4 linked regions of the Saccharomyces cerevisiae S288C genome follow. The gene in region 1 interacts genetically with each later gene. Each region holds a gene or a part of one and is shown in the gene's direction. Other genes may lie near its edges.

Region 1 (4,650 bases):
TGCTCCTCGGAAGAAGAGGCTAAATTGTTGATGTTTAATGTACTGGGAGATGCACCTGGTGCGAAGAAAATTACTAAATCTCTTTCAGAAAAGATATATGATGCTTTTGGTAAACTTTAGCAATTTGAAATATAGTCATCCCTGCAAGGTTTTATAAAGAAAAAAGTGATGATATTCTTTTAACTAATATATACATATATAAGAAAAGAAGCCTTAATTTCTCACGGACAAATATACCAGAAGCATATCTGAAAGCCGCCCCAATGCATTATGATGCCACTTGACAACTCATCAATGGTAGGTACGAAAGACATAATGAACATCAATTCCATTATCAAAAACCCTTCCAACCTCTTCCAGTGACAAACCTTTGACTTCTGGATACCAAAAATATACGAAAAACCAGGCACAAACTGTGAAAAAAGCAAAAATGAGCATTGTATTTTCATCACCAATGGTGTTAATAGTGCTCAGATATGTCATTGAAACAAATGCATTGGTCAACCAATTTGTGCAGGCTATACATGATGCCCCAAATGATCTCCTGTTCAAGGGGAGAAATTCCACACAGGTCCATGGAACGCTGCCCATCGCAGAAGCATATGCTGCAACATAAATTACAACAGAAATTAAAAGTAAATTGACTTGGTCATGACCGAAACCTACACTGCAAAGAAGTAACCCAACAGTCATAATCAAAATTGTTCTCAAAAGAATGGCTCTTCTTCCCAAAGAGTCCATGGTGTACATGGCGAAAAAAGTGAATATGAAGTTCGTTGAGGCAATCAAAATTGGAGGCAGTAGAGGGTTTTTTATATTAAATTTGGAAAATATTATTGCCGCATAGTACATAAAAGCATTAAAGCCAGTGATTTGCTGGAAAAACATTAACATGCAACCTACTATTAACGCTCTTATTGTGCGTGGCTCCATTCTGTGTCTTTTCTTTTTGTTAGATGCCAGGGCACCGTTTGGAGCTGGGCCTCGCAACGCCGATAGATATGCTGATGAGGAGGACATTGTGTTGCTAGTTCTTTCTGTGTTCGAGGAAAGTCTTTTAATGTTAGGTGGGCTAAGAGTTCCTGAGGTTGAACTATCCATGTATCGAATAACCGATTGGGACTGTACTAGTAAAGGTTCACTTGCATCTTCGTATAGTCGTAACTTATCGAGTTCAATTATCAGCTGCTTAATTTTACTATTCACATGATATGTAGATGCAGTAGGATATAGCATTCTTAGAGAATCCCTGGTATATAGAATGTCTCCCTTGGAAATGGACCATCGTGGCGATTCAGGGATAAAATCCAGTATTGAAAGGAACAGAATAGCTGGAATAGCAGAAAGTGCGAACAAATATCTCCATGAATTATCAATCTCTTTCATAAGGGACGCAATCACATAGGAAACCAATTGACCTCCAGTGATGGCAATAATGTTCAATGTCAACATAAAACCCCTGATTCTGGAAGGTGAAATTTCACTCAGAAATAGAGGGACGCACTGGGCAGACACTCCAACAGCGATCCCAACCAGCAATCTCCCACAAATCAAAAACGTCAATGTTCTTGCTATAGCCATTCCAATTGCAGCTAGGATAAAAATTGAACAGCAGATTGCGAGAGTAATTCTTCTTCCATACCTATCTGCTAAAGGAAATGCCAGAATAGAGCCAAAAAATGATCCGACGCTTGTACTGGAAGTTATCAGCTCCTTCTGAACATCCGTTAAAACTACCAAAGATAGATCTTCGGGCTTTAAAGAAAGCAGAACACCTGATATAACACCAGTATCATAGCCGAATAAAAGCCCACCAATGGTAGCACCAACGAAGATTAACGACGTTTTGAACGTTAAAGCATATGGGAGTTGCTCGATGTCATTGGCAGTATTGGATGTTACCTGGGAGATAATGGAATACAGATCAGAATAAACGTCTTCACTTTCATCTGTAGACATACCTCTATCAAGTTTTGACTTTCCTGTCGCTTGCCTGTACGCTTTTGTTTTCTACTGAGAAAAGATACTTTTTGACCATGGACTATAAGTGCACGCTACAGTTGCACATATAAGGTTGTATATAGTTCAAGAAGTTCCTTTCGTATGGAAATTTTGTTATGTATACCTTCCAGTTGCTATGGTAGTCTACCTGACTAAATTATCAATCCGACCGATGTTCGGATGTTGCGATAATATTGGTACCGGAAAAAAAAAAGGAGAGGGCTTTGTAGTGTCGATGTTTAACAACCTGTTTTAAGGAATAAAGTAAAGTGAGGCTCACCTGGTCATTTAACACCAAGAATCAAGGAGCCAATAAGTGCACATGAGTTTTAAAGGGTTTACCAAGGCTGTTAGTAGGGCTCCTCAGTCCTTCCGTCAAAAGTTCAAGATGGGTGAGCAGACAGAGGATCCTGTTTACGAGGATGCAGAACGTCGTTTTCAAGAATTGGAGCAGGAGACAAAAAAATTAAGTGAGGAATCGAAGAGATACTCGACTGCGGTGAATGGAATGCTGACACACCAAATTGGATTTGCCAAATCCATGGAGGAAATTTTCAAACCTATCAGTGGTAAAATGAGTGACCCTAACGCTACCATACCAGAGGACAACCCACAAGGTATTGAAGCAAGTGAACAGTATAGGGCAATTGTCGCAGAATTACAGGAAACATTGAAACCGGATCTGGCTTTGGTGGAAGAAAAAATTGTTACGCCATGCCAGGAACTGTTGAAGATTATTACTTATATTCGTAAAATGGCCACCAAGAGAAATCACAAAAAATTAGATTTAGATAGACATCTAAACACTTATAACAAGCATGAAAAGAAGAAGGAACCAACCGCCAAAGACGAAGAAAGATTGTATAAAGCACAAGCTCAAGTGGAAGTGGCTCAACAAGAATATGATTACTATAACGACTTGCTAAAGACTCAATTACCAATACTGTTCAGTTTGGAAGCTGAATTTGTGAAACCATTATTTGTCTCATTTTATTTCATGCAATTGAACATTTTTTACACTTTGTATAATAGACTTCAAGACATGAAGATTCCATATTTTGATTTGAACAGTGACATTGTAGAGTCGTACATTGCCAAGAAAGGCAATGTGGAAGAACAAACGGACGCCTTGACTATTACACACTTTAAACTCGGTTACTCTAAGGCAAAATTGGAGATGACCAGAAGGAAGTATGGTGTAGCAACCGCCGAAGGCTCACCCGTCAGTGGCGCATCAAGCGGTGTCGGATATGGTGCTGGGTATGATCCAGCAACTGCCACTTCTCCAACCCCTACAGGATACGGTTATGGTGCCGCAGCACCAAGTTACGCCGCTCAACCTGCTGCCCAGTATGGTACTGCTGCCGCCGTTGGTACTGCTGCTGCTGTTGGTACTGCTGCTGGTGCTGCTGCTGGCGCTGTTCCGGGTACTTATCCACAGTATGCTGCTGCGCAATCTCCACCGCTCACTGGGCTAGGCTTCCAACAATCACCACAGCAGCAACAGGGACCACCACCGGCCTACTCTAATCCTCTAACATCACCTGTTGCGGGCACACCAGCCGCGGCCGTAGCGGCAGCTCCTGGCGTTGAAACTGTTACCGCATTGTATGACTACCAAGCTCAAGCTGCTGGTGATTTGTCTTTCCCTGCCGGCGCAGTTATAGAAATTGTCCAGCGTACTCCGGACGTGAACGAATGGTGGACAGGAAGATACAATGGCCAGCAAGGTGTGTTTCCTGGGAACTACGTGCAACTCAACAAGAACTAGAGGAGGCCCCTGCATCCCTCTGTATTCATTACCTTCTATTGTGAGATGTTACCATTACCTTTTTCTTTTATTGTAATGTTTCTTAATTTAAATACTATATAGGGTAATTCATCCTTCCACCAACAAAGTATCGTTTGAGTCTATCTATTACGGGCATGCGGCGAGCATATTACCCTACTGACAATATCCCAAAAGGGAAGGAGCGCGTTCCCAATAGGGCTGCCACCTTCCCAATATGGTACAAAGCCTACCATATGGGGAAATCAGTTTTCTCGCTCACCTCGCCTAGTCTTCCTAAAACGACGTTCCTCAGTCTCCTTTCTCTTTTATAAAACACCATCTCTGTCTTGTCGATGACACAGCCCAGTTGGGAAACCGGTGCTGACAAACAGGAAAAAAGCAAGACTAGTGGCCTGGCGCGGAAGAAACTGAGCTACATTGCACAACATCTTCAAGCAGGGTGTACGCATTCATTACTTTAATACTAAATTTAGAAGAAATCATCCTTTTTACTCGCGAAACTGTTAGGCTTGATCGGACGATCTCAGAAGAGGAAAAACAAATTGATAAAGTCTTCGTTAGGTTTCCTAGAATAGCAGGCCCGTTACAAAAAATTTTTTTACCCATTCCACTGGTTTTATTCACTAGTGACTTGAAAACTCCACATATTTTTGATCTCTTAAGCTTTCACGCATCACAAAGTTATCAGAACAAATTTTCTCCAGAAAGTTATATTGCAGTGTTCAAAAAGCCGTTCTCATTTCACAGCAATTTTTTTCTAAAGTAGAGGGGCAGAGAAATTAGCCTTCACAAGTTTGCTTTCGAGCTTCCAATTTGATTCCTGCTTTGGTCTTACTTTCATCCTCTCAATACCACTA
Region 2 (2,825 bases), on another chromosome or scaffold:
TCAATAATTGTGCCTTCTTCGGGAGGTTTGCATTCAATGCGGTCAAATTGTTAACAATATCTGAAACAATATCATTGACACATGCGAGTTCTTCATTTAACGAGCCAATTTTTTTTTCCGCATTGGCCAATAGACGATCATTTCCATTGATACAATTAGTAGAAGCCCTTTGCTTTAAGACGTTTTTGTAACTATGTTCTACCTTTTTTAACGACTTTTTAAGTTGAAGTTCAATTTGCTGCATCTGATTGCGTTCCTCGTCAATGTCCCTACTTACAACTTCATAGATGGACAGAATGTCTTTTTTTACTTGTAATAACTCATACTTCGTGCTATTGAAGATAGCAGCCTGTGTTAATTTTTTATGGGATGCAAGGGGAGGTAAGCCCTTTAACTCTTCGTAATAGGAACTGCTTCCAACGGCATCAAATTCTATTCTTGATTTCCATTTCAGTATACCTTTAGTTAAGTCTGCTACCATGCTAGGCACTCTCTGCCTTTCTTATGGTTTGGTTACGCATACTCTTCCTTTATATATTCATTGTCATATTTTAAGGAAGCAATCGCTCCCGACGCAAAGTAAAAATATTCAGTGCTTTGCACTCCAGTTAGAAAAAATGAAGAGAATTCAATTGAGAATAAGCAGGGAAGTAATTGGATTGGGAGAATCTAAAAAATGTGGAACTCACTAAAAGCATTCGCTCTAGTGTTCGGAGGTTGTTGCTCCAATGTTATTACATTTGAAACCTTAATGAGCAACGAAACAGGCAGCATTAATAATCTCATTACTTTTTGTCAATTTTTATTTGTTACATGTCAGGGACTCCCCGAATTTCTGGATGTTCATCAACCTTTCCCTTACTTCAAGCCTCTGAAAACTCCACTTCACGTTTATGTCATTACTGTCGTTTTATTTTATATTTCATCTACGACGAATAATAACGTATTTAAATACAACATATCCATTCCGATTCATATCGTTTTCAGATGCTTCGGAACCGTAATAACCATGTTTACATGCTGGTTATTAAATGGTAGGAAATATACAAAGATTCAGATTTTATCAACACTATTTTTAACCATTGGAGCTATAATTGCCTCATTATTCAAAGATGCTGATTTTCGGTACCAAGATTTGAAACTGCAAGCGTGGAAAATTGGAAGTGACCAATCTGTAGATCTCACTTTTATTTTTGGCATTTGTATACTAGTACTTTCATCATTCACATCATCTTTACTTTCAGCATACAATGAACGTACGTATCAAAAATATGGAAAGCATTGGAAGGAGAATATCTTTTACAGTCATTTTTTATCATTACCTCTCTTTCTATTTAGTCGAAAGCAGTTAATTCACGAATATCGAGTGATGAGAAAGTCTGAAAGAATATTGTGTTCAAATTTTGGAGGGAAGATTCTAGTCCCGCGAGAAGAAACTCTCCTTCTTTTCAATGTGTTAACACAATATTTTTGCGTCAAGGGTGTTAATATCCTCGCCAGTAAAACAAACGCTCTGACACTTTCCATAACATTACTTGTAAGAAAATTTATAAGTCTTTTACTGAGCGTCCGACTTTTCGATAATAACTTGTCATATACTGGCTACATCGGGGTCTACCTAGTCTTTTTTGGTGCCTTTATATACTCGCTGGGATCAATTCACCCCAGGCAAAATGACAAGGGGGCGATAAAGAAAAGTAAATGAACACACATTATAAACTAACCTTAAATCCTACTTGTATGTTCCTTAACTCTATATTAGTGGTGTTGACGTAAGTTTAGATAAAATCGCGAACGCTGCCGCCTGGAAGTAAATGAAAAAAAAAAAAAAAAGAATTCATCACCTAAACTCACTAATCTTTAAAACTCATTCATGAGAAGTGGAGAACTATATTACAGCTATGGAACAAAGGAACAACGGTATGCAAAATTTCGATCTCTGGGTTTTAATAAATGCATGTAGCCAATTTTATCTTACTAACAATCTTTGTGTTTTCTCTGTGTATAGTCTTTCAAGCAAAATATAATGAATACAAACAAATTTTGGAAGAATTGCAAACAAAAATCATAGAATTAGGTCATGACAAAGATGAACACACTATAGTCATAAAAACACTGAAAGACGCTGAGCCGACGAGAAAATGTTACAGGATGATAGGTGGCGCACTTGTTGAAAGTGATGTTCAAACGAGTTTGCCTATTCTTGAAACTAAGAAGGAAAACATAGAAGGTACAATAAGTAAAATGAAAGAAACCTTAATACAAACTGCAAAAGAGTTTGAAAAATGGAAAAAAGACAATAAGATTCAAGTCGTTAAAAACTAAACCATATATAAAATCTATTGCAGTACTTAGTTTGGCAAAAAATATAAATAAACACAATCAGGTACTCTTATGTATTTATGTGAGCCATTTATAAAGAATTATAAAGGATATGAAAACATATATTAGTTTGTTTTTTTGAATGTTTCAAGTTTCTTGCCAACAGAGGAAGTCGTAACGAAAGAAACAACAAAAAATATCCACGCAACAATGACGCCACAAATGGCGCTAATATAAACCCAAGAATTGCTGATTTCCCAACTTCTTGGGTATTCATCATTAGCAAGGTGACGGATAGCTTTAACGTCTTTGTCAGTAGTGAACGACAGGCCAATCTTACGATAGTCAGTGAGGAATGTAAACACTCCATGGCGGTCTGGAAGGATGAATTCACCGGTGGTGTAATACTGAGTTTCAGAATCGTTTCCGCTTGGCGACAATGTTAGACGGTAGTACGGATCCACTTGTCTTAGTTCAAATTGGATATCATCAGCGATATGTGG
Region 3 (4,695 bases), on another chromosome or scaffold:
GCAAAGGCAAAAGACTCCATAATTGCTCACTACTACGAATCTTCTTTTCGACAATATCACCTAATGAAATACAGTTAGCCGCCTCAGCAACTGCTTCCAAATGTGACTGGCCGGGTTTCAAAACGCTTGGTCTTGTAGATAAATAGTTTTCCTGAATCATTAGGGGTGTGAAATCAAAGTCATCAAAATATAATGCGATCTTATCATTCAGTGTAAAGTTCCTTGAACCTATGTCTGAGTATATTTGTCCATCCAACATTTTATGGGCAATGTCAAAGGGTTTTAGGGCAATATTCTTTTCCCATGCCTTTGAGATCTCGTTGATATTTTCATGGTTTATGGTTTTAGTAGTCGTAGATATCGTTGAAAGTAGATTAATAACCTGGCGGATATCACCTCTTGTAGTCTGTATCAACCTATCAATGACATTTGGATCAAGTTTGAACTTTTCTCTGATCGCAATTGTCATTAATCTTGATTTGATACTGTTAGCATCAGGTCTTCTAAATTGGATATCAAGACATACTCTATCGAATGGTCTCATTTTTGGTAAATTACGTTCATTACAAATTAGAATCAATGGAGTTGACGTCTTACGACAAAACTGTGCCAGCTGGCCAACTCCCCCCCTATCGCCTCCGCTCATACCATCAACTTCATCCATGATAATGACAAAATGTTTCCCGTTCAAATTTTGAGCTTCTTCGTTGTGTTTGAAATATCCCACTACAGACATGTTATCAAGAGCGTTTTTAACACCGGCATTAAGTAAAGTTTTAGAGCGAACATCAGAAGCGTTTTGTTCAAGAATGTCATACCCAAGCTCTTGTGCAACTAAATGAGCAGCAGTTGTCTTCCCAATACCAGGAGGACCGTATAACATTGCAGCCCTGAAAACACCAGAGCCATCTTTACCAGCATGTTTAAAACTATTTTTCTTTGAATTTTCCCAATTAGCCAACCAGTTTTTTAATTTCATTACACTTCCTTTGTTACCACAGACCTGTTGTAGATTCGTTGGTGCGTACTTTACTGTCCACAATTTATCTTCTTCCCTAACCACATTGTCTCTCTCCAGATGGCCACCAGAAACTCTAGTGGCTGCAAGCTTCTTCGACCTTTCCTCTTCTTTCTTAACAAGCAATTCTGCTTCTTTGGTAGCAATATTATGCTGTTCTTCTAATTTTCGACGTGCTTTTTCGGCAGCTTCCCCGTCACCACCTTCAGCAGGCATCCCAGCAATTAATTGCTTAAAGCCTTCTTCGTCTATGGCTTTGATTTTCAATTGCTTGATTTTTTCTAGTTTCTTTGGCCCTGCTTCATCACCTAAGACTACTACAGAAGTTTTGCTTGAAATTGATTTAGTAACCCTTGCTCCGTATCTTTTCGCTAAAGCTTCCGATGCACCACGCTCCAAGGTTGGCAGAACACCTGTGAAGACAATTGTTAGACCTAATAAACAATTTGGCTTTCCTTCTGGAAAACTACCTATTTCAGAAACAATTTCATCTGGATCCGCATTTGAATTTGCGCTTTTGAAATCAAATTTAGCATTCTCTTTCACATGAACATTTGACAGATCCAAGGATGGAATCTTATCTAGTACATCTTGAGCCGTAATATTCGAAGCCGAGTCTGAACTTTTAGAGGAGGGTTTGGTTTTTTTTGAACTTGCTGGCTTTACAGTTGGTGAAGAGGCCTTCCTCTTAGCGGGAAGAGGTAGCTTTTTTTCTCCTTCAGGTGTCTCTGATACATCAATTACATTACTTACAGGCATCTTCTTTGGTGTTTTATTGGTTGATTCTTGGTCAGATTCAGTATCTAAGTCGATAACTTCTGGTTTAGACGAACCCACCTGTCTCGTAGGTCTGGATGTTGACGATCTTACGGATTTCTTATTTTTACCAAAGAAATCAGAAATATTGACCATTTTCTTCAGCTTAGTTTATTATGAAGTGACTTGAAGTTATAAAATTAACTGCGAGATACCCAATTCCTTATTGTGTAAGGATCAAGCAGCGTATTCAACGAAGCCACTGTTTTCGCTGAGAGATCGGCTGTTCCTTCTCATGTTGATTTTTTTTTCAGTACTTCTTTTTGAATTTCGTGCTCATTTCGATACGAAAAATGGAAACAAACAGAAAGACCATTCATGAAGAACAAGAAAATCTTGTATAAACAGCTATATAGTAGATGCTTGTGTATACTTTCCACTTGATCCCCTCAAACAATTGCATTTTTTTTAATTAGAATGGGTAAAAATAAGAAGAAAACAGGTAAGAAGGCCAAGAGTCATCCTCATGTGGAGGACGTTGATGAAACCGTCAATAAACCTGAAGAAATCATCAATTCTGTAAACGTCACCGTTCCTCCAAAAATGTCCACAGATCCAGAGGCTGATGGTATCGTGGCAAGCCCGGACGATGAGGGGAAAGATCTCTCTGAAGGAGTAGACAAACAAAAAGTAAATGACGGCCTGACTGTAGACACCATAAATCCTTTAGAGGACAAAAAGGCTGGTGATGAGATGAAGGAACTAAGGGAAGAAATTGAACGTTTAAAATTGGAACTAAGCCACAAGAAGGATCAAGAAACGCCTAATGAAGACTTCAAAAATGAACTAGCAAATGTTATTAAGGAAAGAGACGAATTCAAAACACAGTATGACACATTATTGAGCAAGATATCTTCTATGAAATCAATTTTTAATAAGATGAAAGAAGCACAAAAACAATTAGAGGAAGTGCAGGAGCAGCTTACTGAATATGAATCACAAAATCTGAAATTGAAGAAGAAACTTGAAGCTACCAAGACCGAAAACTCTGAATTACAATCCACGATTGTGACCCTAAATACAGAGTTAGAAAACCTAGAAAAGGAGCAAGAAAGTACAGAAGAGGTTTTTTTGGAATACGAATCAAGGATAGAAGCTTTGGAAGATGAAAAACACGACATAATTGAAAAACATAGTAAGGAACTTAACACTTACAGGAAGGAAAAAGATCAATTAAATCTCCAAGTTCAGGAACTCATGATAATCTTAGAAAATAATAAACAAGATATATCTGACTTGAGAACAGAAAGAGATGAATTGAGACAGGCTTTGGAATCCCATGAAAAGGAGAAAGCAGTATTAAAGAATTCTCTAAATGATCTGGAATTGAAGATAGAAGAAGTTGACAACAAAAGGGAAGAAGAGGCTAGAGAGAGAGACCAGGAAGTCAAATCTTTACGATCCCAACTTGACACGGAGATAGAAACGCACAACAATGACACAGAAGCTTTAGAAAGCATGAAAAAACAGCTAGAAGCCATGAAGGAGGACGCCTCTATGAAGGAAAAATATGAGGAAGAATCTAAGCAGCACATCTTACAGATCGGAAAACTACGTCACGAAGCCATTATACTAAATGAGCATTTAACAAAGGCACTGGCCATGTTGAAGAAATCAAGCGATTCTGAATCCGTTGATAAAGAACTGATATCCAATCTATTGATATCTTTCGTGTCCATACCCAGAGCAGACCCAAGAAAGTTTGAAGTTCTTGAATTACTGTCCAATTTCTTAAACTGGGATGAAGATAAGAAACAACAGGCCGGCTTGATCTCGAATAATGAGTCTAAGAATTCAAGCGCTGTATCGAGAACGGAAAGCTTTGTATCGCTTTGGACCAACTACCTCGAGAAAGAGAGTGAGAAAGACTAATCGGGCAAACTAAGTCTAGTTCAGAAGAGCATACGTACTTAGTGTAGCATCACCCAATTTATACTCTATAAACGATAAATGATATAAATCACATCTACCCGGCATCTGGGACTTTTCGGGGGGAAGGACTCAAAATTAAAGGGAAGAAAAAGGATCTGCAACATTTTTTACAGAAGTAATGAACTGGAGAAAAAAGACTTTGGGATAAAGTTGGGGAATACAGCAAATAACACTATTCCAAGATGTTCAGACAATCAATTAGGCCACTTGTTTCAAATAGACTAACCTTCATTCGTTATAACAGTTCTCCAGCCTACACGGCTGCAGTCAGCCTATTGAAAGGAGATTTGAAAAAGGCTATGATTGCCAAGGATGAGATGAAGAAGACAGCAATCAGAAATATGTTATCTGCCATAAAAAACAAAGAAATTGCTTTAAAAGGGAAGAGCGCTGATGAGTACTCCCTGTACGACATGTACTCCAAGTTAATATCTCAAAGAAAGGACTCGATCAATGAGTTCCTTGCTAACAAGAGGGACGATCTGGTGGCCAAAGAGCAAGGTGAAATGGACATTATAAAGAAATATATGGACCAATTGCCAGTGTCTTCAGAGCTTGATATTGATCAAAATGTGAAGAAATTACTGGACGCCCTCAAAACAAAGGCAGGTGAAAAAAAAGTTCAAATTAAGGAAATCATGGGAGAAATCGACTGGAAGTCATTGCCAACAGAATGGAAGACATCTCCAACTGCCATCAAAAATAGCATTGTTAAGCAATTCAAGGAAATTTTCAAATGAGGTCCTTGTTTTCTGCGCGATGAATCACAGCCCAACCTTCAATAGTAAAAAAGAAGTAAAAATATTCGTCAAAAATTATGAAAGATACTTTGTTAATACATATCACAGTTACATATTAAAATAAAAAATTAATGCTCGCTTCCTTTCACCTTTTTTTTTTTTTTTGTGGCTACGTTTTTGTGTCCCATG
Region 4 (6,539 bases), on another chromosome or scaffold:
ATGGTCCAAGATTACTAAAAGAATTAAGTGACCGTGCTCAAATACCTGTCACCACTACTTTACAAGGTTTAGGTTCATTCGACCAAGAAGATCCAAAATCATTGGATATGCTTGGTATGCACGGTTGTGCTACTGCCAACCTGGCAGTGCAAAATGCCGACTTGATAATTGCAGTTGGTGCTAGATTCGACGACCGTGTCACTGGTAATATTTCTAAATTCGCTCCAGAAGCTCGTCGTGCAGCTGCCGAGGGTAGAGGTGGTATTATTCATTTCGAGGTTAGTCCAAAAAACATAAACAAGGTTGTTCAAACTCAAATAGCAGTGGAAGGTGATGCTACGACCAATCTGGGCAAAATGATGTCAAAGATTTTCCCAGTTAAGGAGAGGTCTGAATGGTTTGCTCAAATAAATAAATGGAAGAAGGAATACCCATACGCTTATATGGAGGAGACTCCAGGATCTAAAATTAAACCACAGACGGTTATAAAGAAACTATCCAAGGTTGCCAACGACACAGGAAGACATGTCATTGTTACAACGGGTGTGGGGCAACATCAAATGTGGGCTGCTCAACACTGGACATGGAGAAATCCACATACTTTCATCACATCAGGTGGTTTAGGTACGATGGGTTACGGTCTCCCTGCCGCCATCGGTGCTCAAGTTGCAAAGCCAGAATCTTTGGTTATTGACATTGATGGTGACGCATCCTTTAACATGACTCTAACGGAATTGAGTTCTGCCGTTCAAGCTGGTACTCCAGTGAAGATTTTGATTTTGAACAATGAAGAGCAAGGTATGGTTACTCAATGGCAATCCCTGTTCTACGAACATCGTTATTCCCACACACATCAATTGAACCCTGATTTCATAAAACTAGCGGAGGCTATGGGTTTAAAAGGTTTAAGAGTCAAGAAGCAAGAGGAATTGGACGCTAAGTTGAAAGAATTCGTTTCTACCAAGGGCCCAGTTTTGCTTGAAGTGGAAGTTGATAAAAAAGTTCCTGTTTTGCCAATGGTGGCAGGTGGTAGCGGTCTAGACGAGTTCATAAATTTTGACCCAGAAGTTGAAAGACAACAGACTGAATTACGTCATAAGCGTACAGGCGGTAAGCACTGAATTTCAAAAACATTTATTTCAAAAGCATTTTCAGTAAAAAATGCAGACTTTATTATTATTTAATCGTGCTTCTTATATATGACATTCTACCAAATCGGTAGTCATGTATATTTTTTTCGTATATACTTTATATATTTTTTTCTAAAAAACTAATGACGGCTAAAATTAAGTCATAGATGAATAATAAGTTCAATTCAAGTGAGTTGGTAGTATTTGATAAATCTAAAGTGGATACGTAGCATATGTATTCAAATGGTGTGTTTTAACTCGTCGGACACGACTTCTTTCTCGTTTTGTCAATCATCAAAAATATTTCTCGAAAAGGGGCCGTCAAAAATTGCAAGCTTGGAAAATACAAACTGGACTATGTATTTAAAGGTTATAGTTTATAATAAAGCATAAGAACAGTGGCCAATACGAATTTAACCGCTTTATAGAAATGGCTATCTTAAAAAGAGGAGCTAGAAAAAAGGTACATCAGGAGCCAGCTAAACGCTCTGCGAATATCAAGAAAGCTACTTTTGATTCCTCGAAGAAGAAAGAAGTTGGTGTGTCTGATCTGACGCTTCTTTCTAAAATCTCCGACGAAGCCATAAATGAAAACTTGAAGAAGAGATTTTTGAATGCTACAATCTACACTTATATAGGTCATGTGTTAATTAGTGTCAATCCATTCCGAGACCTCGGAATCTATACTGATGCTGTTATGAATGAATACAAAGGTAAGAATAGATTGGAAGTTCCACCCCATGTATTTGCAATTGCAGAGTCTATGTACTACAACATGAAATCATATAATGAAAATCAGTGTGTTATTATTTCAGGTGAATCAGGTGCCGGTAAAACTGAAGCAGCTAAAAGAATTATGCAATATATTGCGGCTGCTTCTAGCACACATACGGAGTCAATTGGAAAGATTAAAGACATGGTTTTAGCCACTAATCCATTGTTGGAATCTTTTGGCTGTGCAAAGACTCTAAGAAATAACAACTCTTCTAGACATGGGAAATATCTAGAAATAAAATTCAATAACCAGTTTGAACCATGTGCTGGTAATATCACAAACTATTTATTGGAGAAGCAGAGAGTTGTGAGTCAAATTAAGAATGAAAGAAATTTCCATATATTCTATCAGTTCACGAAAGGTGCTTCCGATGCTTATAGGCAAACATTTGGGGTCCAAAAACCGGAACAATATGTGTACACAGCTGCTGCGGGTTGCATATCTGCTGAGACAATTGATGATTTGCAAGATTATCAAGAGACATTAAAAGCTATGAGAGTTATTGGTCTCGGTCAAGAAGAACAAGACCAAATTTTCAGGATGTTAGCTGCAATTCTTTGGATTGGTAATGTTTCCTTTATAGAAAATGAGGAGGGGAATGCGCAAGTTAGGGACACCTCAGTAACCGATTTTGTTGCTTACTTGTTACAAATAGATAGCCAATTGCTGATTAAATCACTTGTGGAAAGAATTATGGAAACCAATCATGGTATGAAAAGAGGGTCAGTGTATCATGTTCCATTGAATATTGTCCAAGCAGATGCGGTTAGAGATGCTTTGGCAAAGGCTATTTACAATAACTTATTTGACTGGATTGTGAGTAGGGTTAACAAATCTCTGCAGGCTTTTCCAGGCGCTGAAAAATCCATTGGTATTCTTGATATTTACGGCTTTGAAATTTTTGAACATAACTCTTTTGAGCAGATTTGTATCAATTATGTTAATGAAAAGTTACAACAAATCTTTATTCAATTGACATTGAAATCTGAGCAAGAAACTTACGAGAGAGAAAAAATCCAATGGACCCCAATTAAATACTTTGATAACAAGGTTGTGTGTGATTTGATTGAGGCAAGAAGACCACCTGGTATATTTGCAGCAATGAATGATTCTGTTGCAACTGCACACGCGGATTCAAATGCTGCTGATCAGGCTTTTGCTCAGCGTTTGAACTTGTTCACAACAAATCCACATTTTGACTTGAGATCTAACAAGTTTGTTATTAAGCATTATGCCGGTGATGTCACATACGATATTGACGGTATTACAGATAAAAATAAGGATCAATTACAAAAGGATCTGGTAGAATTAATTGGTACCACTACCAATACATTTTTAGCCACCATTTTCCCGGATACTGTAGACAGAGAATCAAAAAGAAGGCCACCTACAGCAGGCGACAAAATTATAAAGAGTGCAAATGATTTGGTTGAAACTTTATCAAAAGCACAACCTTCATATATCAGAACAATTAAACCAAACGAAACCAAATCTCCTAACGATTATGACGATCGGCAAGTTCTACACCAGATTAAGTATCTAGGTCTGCAAGAAAACGTGCGTATCAGAAGAGCAGGTTTTGCATATAGACAAGTGTTTGAGAAGTTCGTGGAAAGATTTTATTTATTATCTCCACACTGTTCTTACGCTGGTGACTATACATGGCAAGGTGATACCTTAGATGCTGTTAAGTATATATTGCAAGATTCCTCTATCCCACAGCAGGAGTACCAATTGGGTGTCACAAGTGTTTTCATCAAAACACCTGAAACATTATTTGCTTTGGAGCATATGAGAGATAGATACTGGCACAATATGGCTGCCAGAATCCAACGTGCTTGGAGGAGATTTTTGCAAAGAAGAATTGATGCGGCCACTAAGATCCAGCGCACCATCAGGGAGAGGAAGGAAGGTAATAAGTATGAGAAGCTCCGGGATTATGGTACGAAGGTTTTGGGTGGAAGAAAAGAAAGAAGGTCTATGTCCTTATTAGGTTACAGAGCCTTCATGGGTGATTATCTATCATGCAACGAGTCCAAATCGAAGGGCGCTTATATCAAAAGACAAGTGAGCATTAAAGAGAAGGTCATCTTTTCCATACATGGTGAGGCCTTGCATACAAAATTTGGCCGTTCTGCACAAAGATTGAAAAAAACTTTCCTATTAACTCCAACTACATTGTACATTGTTGGTCAGACTTTGGTCCAAAATGCTATGACCTATACTCAGGATTATAAAATCGATGTGCGAAACATTCAAGCGGTTAGTTTAACCAATTTACAGGATGATTGGGTCGCCATTAAGTTGGCTAGCTCAGGTCAACCTGACCCCTTAATCAACACATATTTCAAAACAGAACTCATAACGCATCTGAAAAGGCTTAACGACAAAATTCAAATTAAAATAGGCTCGGCGATAGAGTACCAAAAGAAACCTGGAAAGTTGCATTCAGTGAAATGTCAAATCAATGAATCTGCACCAAAATATGGCGACATATATAAATCCAGTACAATATCAGTTCGTCGTGGTAACCCACCTAATTCTCAAGTGCACAAAAAACCGAGAAAAAAGAGTTCAATCTCTTCAGGATATCATGCTAGTTCCTCGCAAGCAACGAGGAGGCCAGTTTCGATTGCTGCAGCCCAGCATGTTCCCACCGCCCCGGCTTCTAGGCATTCTAAAAAGCCTGCCCCTCCACCACCAGGAATGCAGAACAAAGCTGCTACAAGAAGATCTGTTCCTAATCCTGCTTCCACTCTCACTGCATCCCAAAGTAATGCCCGTCCTTCTCCCCCTACTGCTGCCACTCGTGCTACACCCGCTGCTACACCCGCTGCTGCCGCAATGGGCTCTGGTAGACAGGCAAATATCCCTCCACCACCTCCTCCACCCCCACCCTCTTCAAAGCCAAAAGAACCCATGTTTGAAGCGGCTTACGATTTTCCTGGTTCAGGATCACCATCTGAGTTACCTTTAAAGAAAGGAGACGTAATTTACATTACAAGAGAAGAACCAAGCGGTTGGTCTCTCGGGAAACTTCTGGATGGCTCTAAGGAAGGTTGGGTGCCAACAGCTTACATGAAACCACATTCCGGAAATAATAATATCCCTACTCCTCCTCAAAACAGGGATGTTCCTAAACCCGTTCTGAATTCTGTACAACATGATAACACCTCTGCAAACGTTATTCCAGCTGCAGCCCAAGCAAGTTTGGGTGATGGTTTGGCGAATGCGCTTGCTGCTAGGGCCAATAAAATGAGATTAGAGAGTGATGACGAGGAGGCTAACGAAGATGAAGAGGAAGATGATTGGTAATCAAAATGTATTTAGCGAGTATATACTCTATACGAGCAAATAGAGTAAATTGTAATTAATAAATATTGATATATTATCGCCCATATGAAATTTTTAAACGAAAGGTTACTTATACATCAAATAATTAATTAACCTTAAACATTACGTTCAGGAAGAACAATGAGCGTAAATGGTACTAATTAAAATAACGGCGGCAGATAATGAAAAATATTGGCGTAACCCCCACTTGTTATTGCCATTTCTGTCAAACCAAGGTTTTCTTTCCATCGCAAAACGGACGAGCTTTTCCTTTTGTGCGCTATTTGGAGGGTATCTCATAAAAAGGGTAAAATCATTCCAATATGGTTGTTTAAAAATTGTTCTTTCATGACTAAAGGTATTGAATCCATAATATCCACCATAGTTACCATAACCTGAAGTACCGATCCCTCCAAATGGAGCGTCGGTAATTCCTACATGAATCACTGTATCACCGACAACACAGTCACCAGATCTTAAGCGCGTCAAGATACGATTTATTTCAGTTTGGCTATCAGAGAATATGTATTGCACCAATGGAGTGTCATGTTCTTCTATTATCTTGTTAATGGTCTCATCAAGATCCTCGTACTCAATGATGGGCAATACAGGAGCAAAGTTTTCCTGTTTCATCAAAGGATCATCCCAACCAATGTTATAAACTATGGTTGGTGGTACAAGGCATAGATCCTCAGTATCTGAATTGATAGAAATTTTTGAAGGCACAATCTTGGAGCCGTTAGTTGAGTTTATACTTGCAACGGCCTTTTTGTAAGCAGGCTCATGAATCATACGAGTGAAATCTGTTTGTTCATCAAAGCTTGGATAAAATTCATTTAGTACTGATTCACACTCTTTAATGACTTTTGGATAGATAGATTTATGTACTAACAAATAATCTGGTGAAACACAAATCTGGCCAGAATTTCCGAAAGCACCAAAAAAAATCCTTTTCAAAGCAATTTTTATGTTACTTGCTTTGAAATTTTCTGTAATAAAGGTAGGTGATTTACCACCAAGTTCAAGTACACAAGGTGTTAGACTTTTTGCTGCTTTCTCAGCAACTATTGATCCGACACGGGGAGAACCTGTGTAGAATATTAGGTCAAATTTTCCACAATCTAGTAGTCTTGTAGTTTCATCTATAGCTCCCTGAACTACTTGAATCAATCCATCAGGGAAACCAGCTGTGGTTAACAAATTTTCCATAACTACAGCAGTGTGTGGTGTTAGTTCACTTGGCTTCAGAACAATGGTGTTACCTGCAGCAAGAGCTGCTGCCAATGGGGCAAATGCTAAAA

What was found.
Region 2: mutations in RVS167 (region 1) and GIM4 together harm fitness more than expected from each alone (negative genetic interaction), as found in Saccharomyces cerevisiae (6 studies listed by BioGRID, with this or other methods).
Region 3: mutations in RVS167 (region 1) and RUD3 together harm fitness more than expected from each alone (negative genetic interaction), as found in Saccharomyces cerevisiae (5 studies listed by BioGRID, with this or other methods).
Region 4: mutations in RVS167 (region 1) and MYO5 together harm fitness more than expected from each alone (negative genetic interaction), as found in Saccharomyces cerevisiae (6 studies listed by BioGRID, with this or other methods).

The regions. Positions count from the first base shown.
Region 1 is NC_001136.10:1,247,863-1,252,512, forward strand, and holds RVS167 (amphiphysin), read left to right. Parts: upstream 1-2,323; coding exon 2,324-3,772; downstream 3,773-4,650. Other genes in the region: MUS81 (Mus81p), read left to right, coding at 1-120; CIN10 (Cin10p), read right to left, coding at 292-1,959. UniProt on the Saccharomyces cerevisiae protein: Component of a cytoskeletal structure that is required for the formation of endocytic vesicles at the plasma membrane level.
Region 2 is NC_001137.3:146,275-149,099, forward strand, and holds GIM4 (tubulin-binding prefolding complex subunit GIM4), read left to right. Parts: upstream 1-1,901; coding exon 1,902-1,920; intron 1,921-2,008; coding exon 2,009-2,325; downstream 2,326-2,825. Other genes in the region: VAB2 (Vab2p), read right to left, coding at 1-481; YEA4 (Yea4p), read left to right, coding at 677-1,705; WBP1 (dolichyl-diphosphooligosaccharide-protein glycotransferase), read right to left, coding at 2,448-2,825. UniProt on the Saccharomyces cerevisiae protein: Binds specifically to cytosolic chaperonin (c-CPN) and transfers target proteins to it. Binds to nascent polypeptide chain and promotes folding in an environment in which there are many competing pathways for nonnative proteins.
Region 3 is NC_001147.6:746,536-751,230, reverse strand, and holds RUD3 (Rud3p), read left to right. Parts: upstream 1-2,251; coding exon 2,252-3,706; downstream 3,707-4,695. Other genes in the region: RFC1 (replication factor C subunit 1), read right to left, coding at 1-1,930; AIM41 (Aim41p), read left to right, coding at 3,949-4,506. UniProt on the Saccharomyces cerevisiae protein: Involved in the structural organization of the cis-Golgi and in vesicle targeting/fusion stages of ER to Golgi transport.
Region 4 is NC_001145.3:485,027-491,565, forward strand, and holds MYO5 (myosin 5), read left to right. Parts: upstream 1-1,560; coding exon 1,561-5,220; downstream 5,221-6,539. Other genes in the region: ILV2 (acetolactate synthase catalytic subunit), read left to right, coding at 1-1,121; HFD1 (hexadecenal dehydrogenase), read right to left, coding at 5,368-6,539. UniProt on the Saccharomyces cerevisiae protein: One of two redundant type-I myosins implicated in the organization of the actin cytoskeleton. Required for proper actin cytoskeleton polarization and for the internalization step in endocytosis.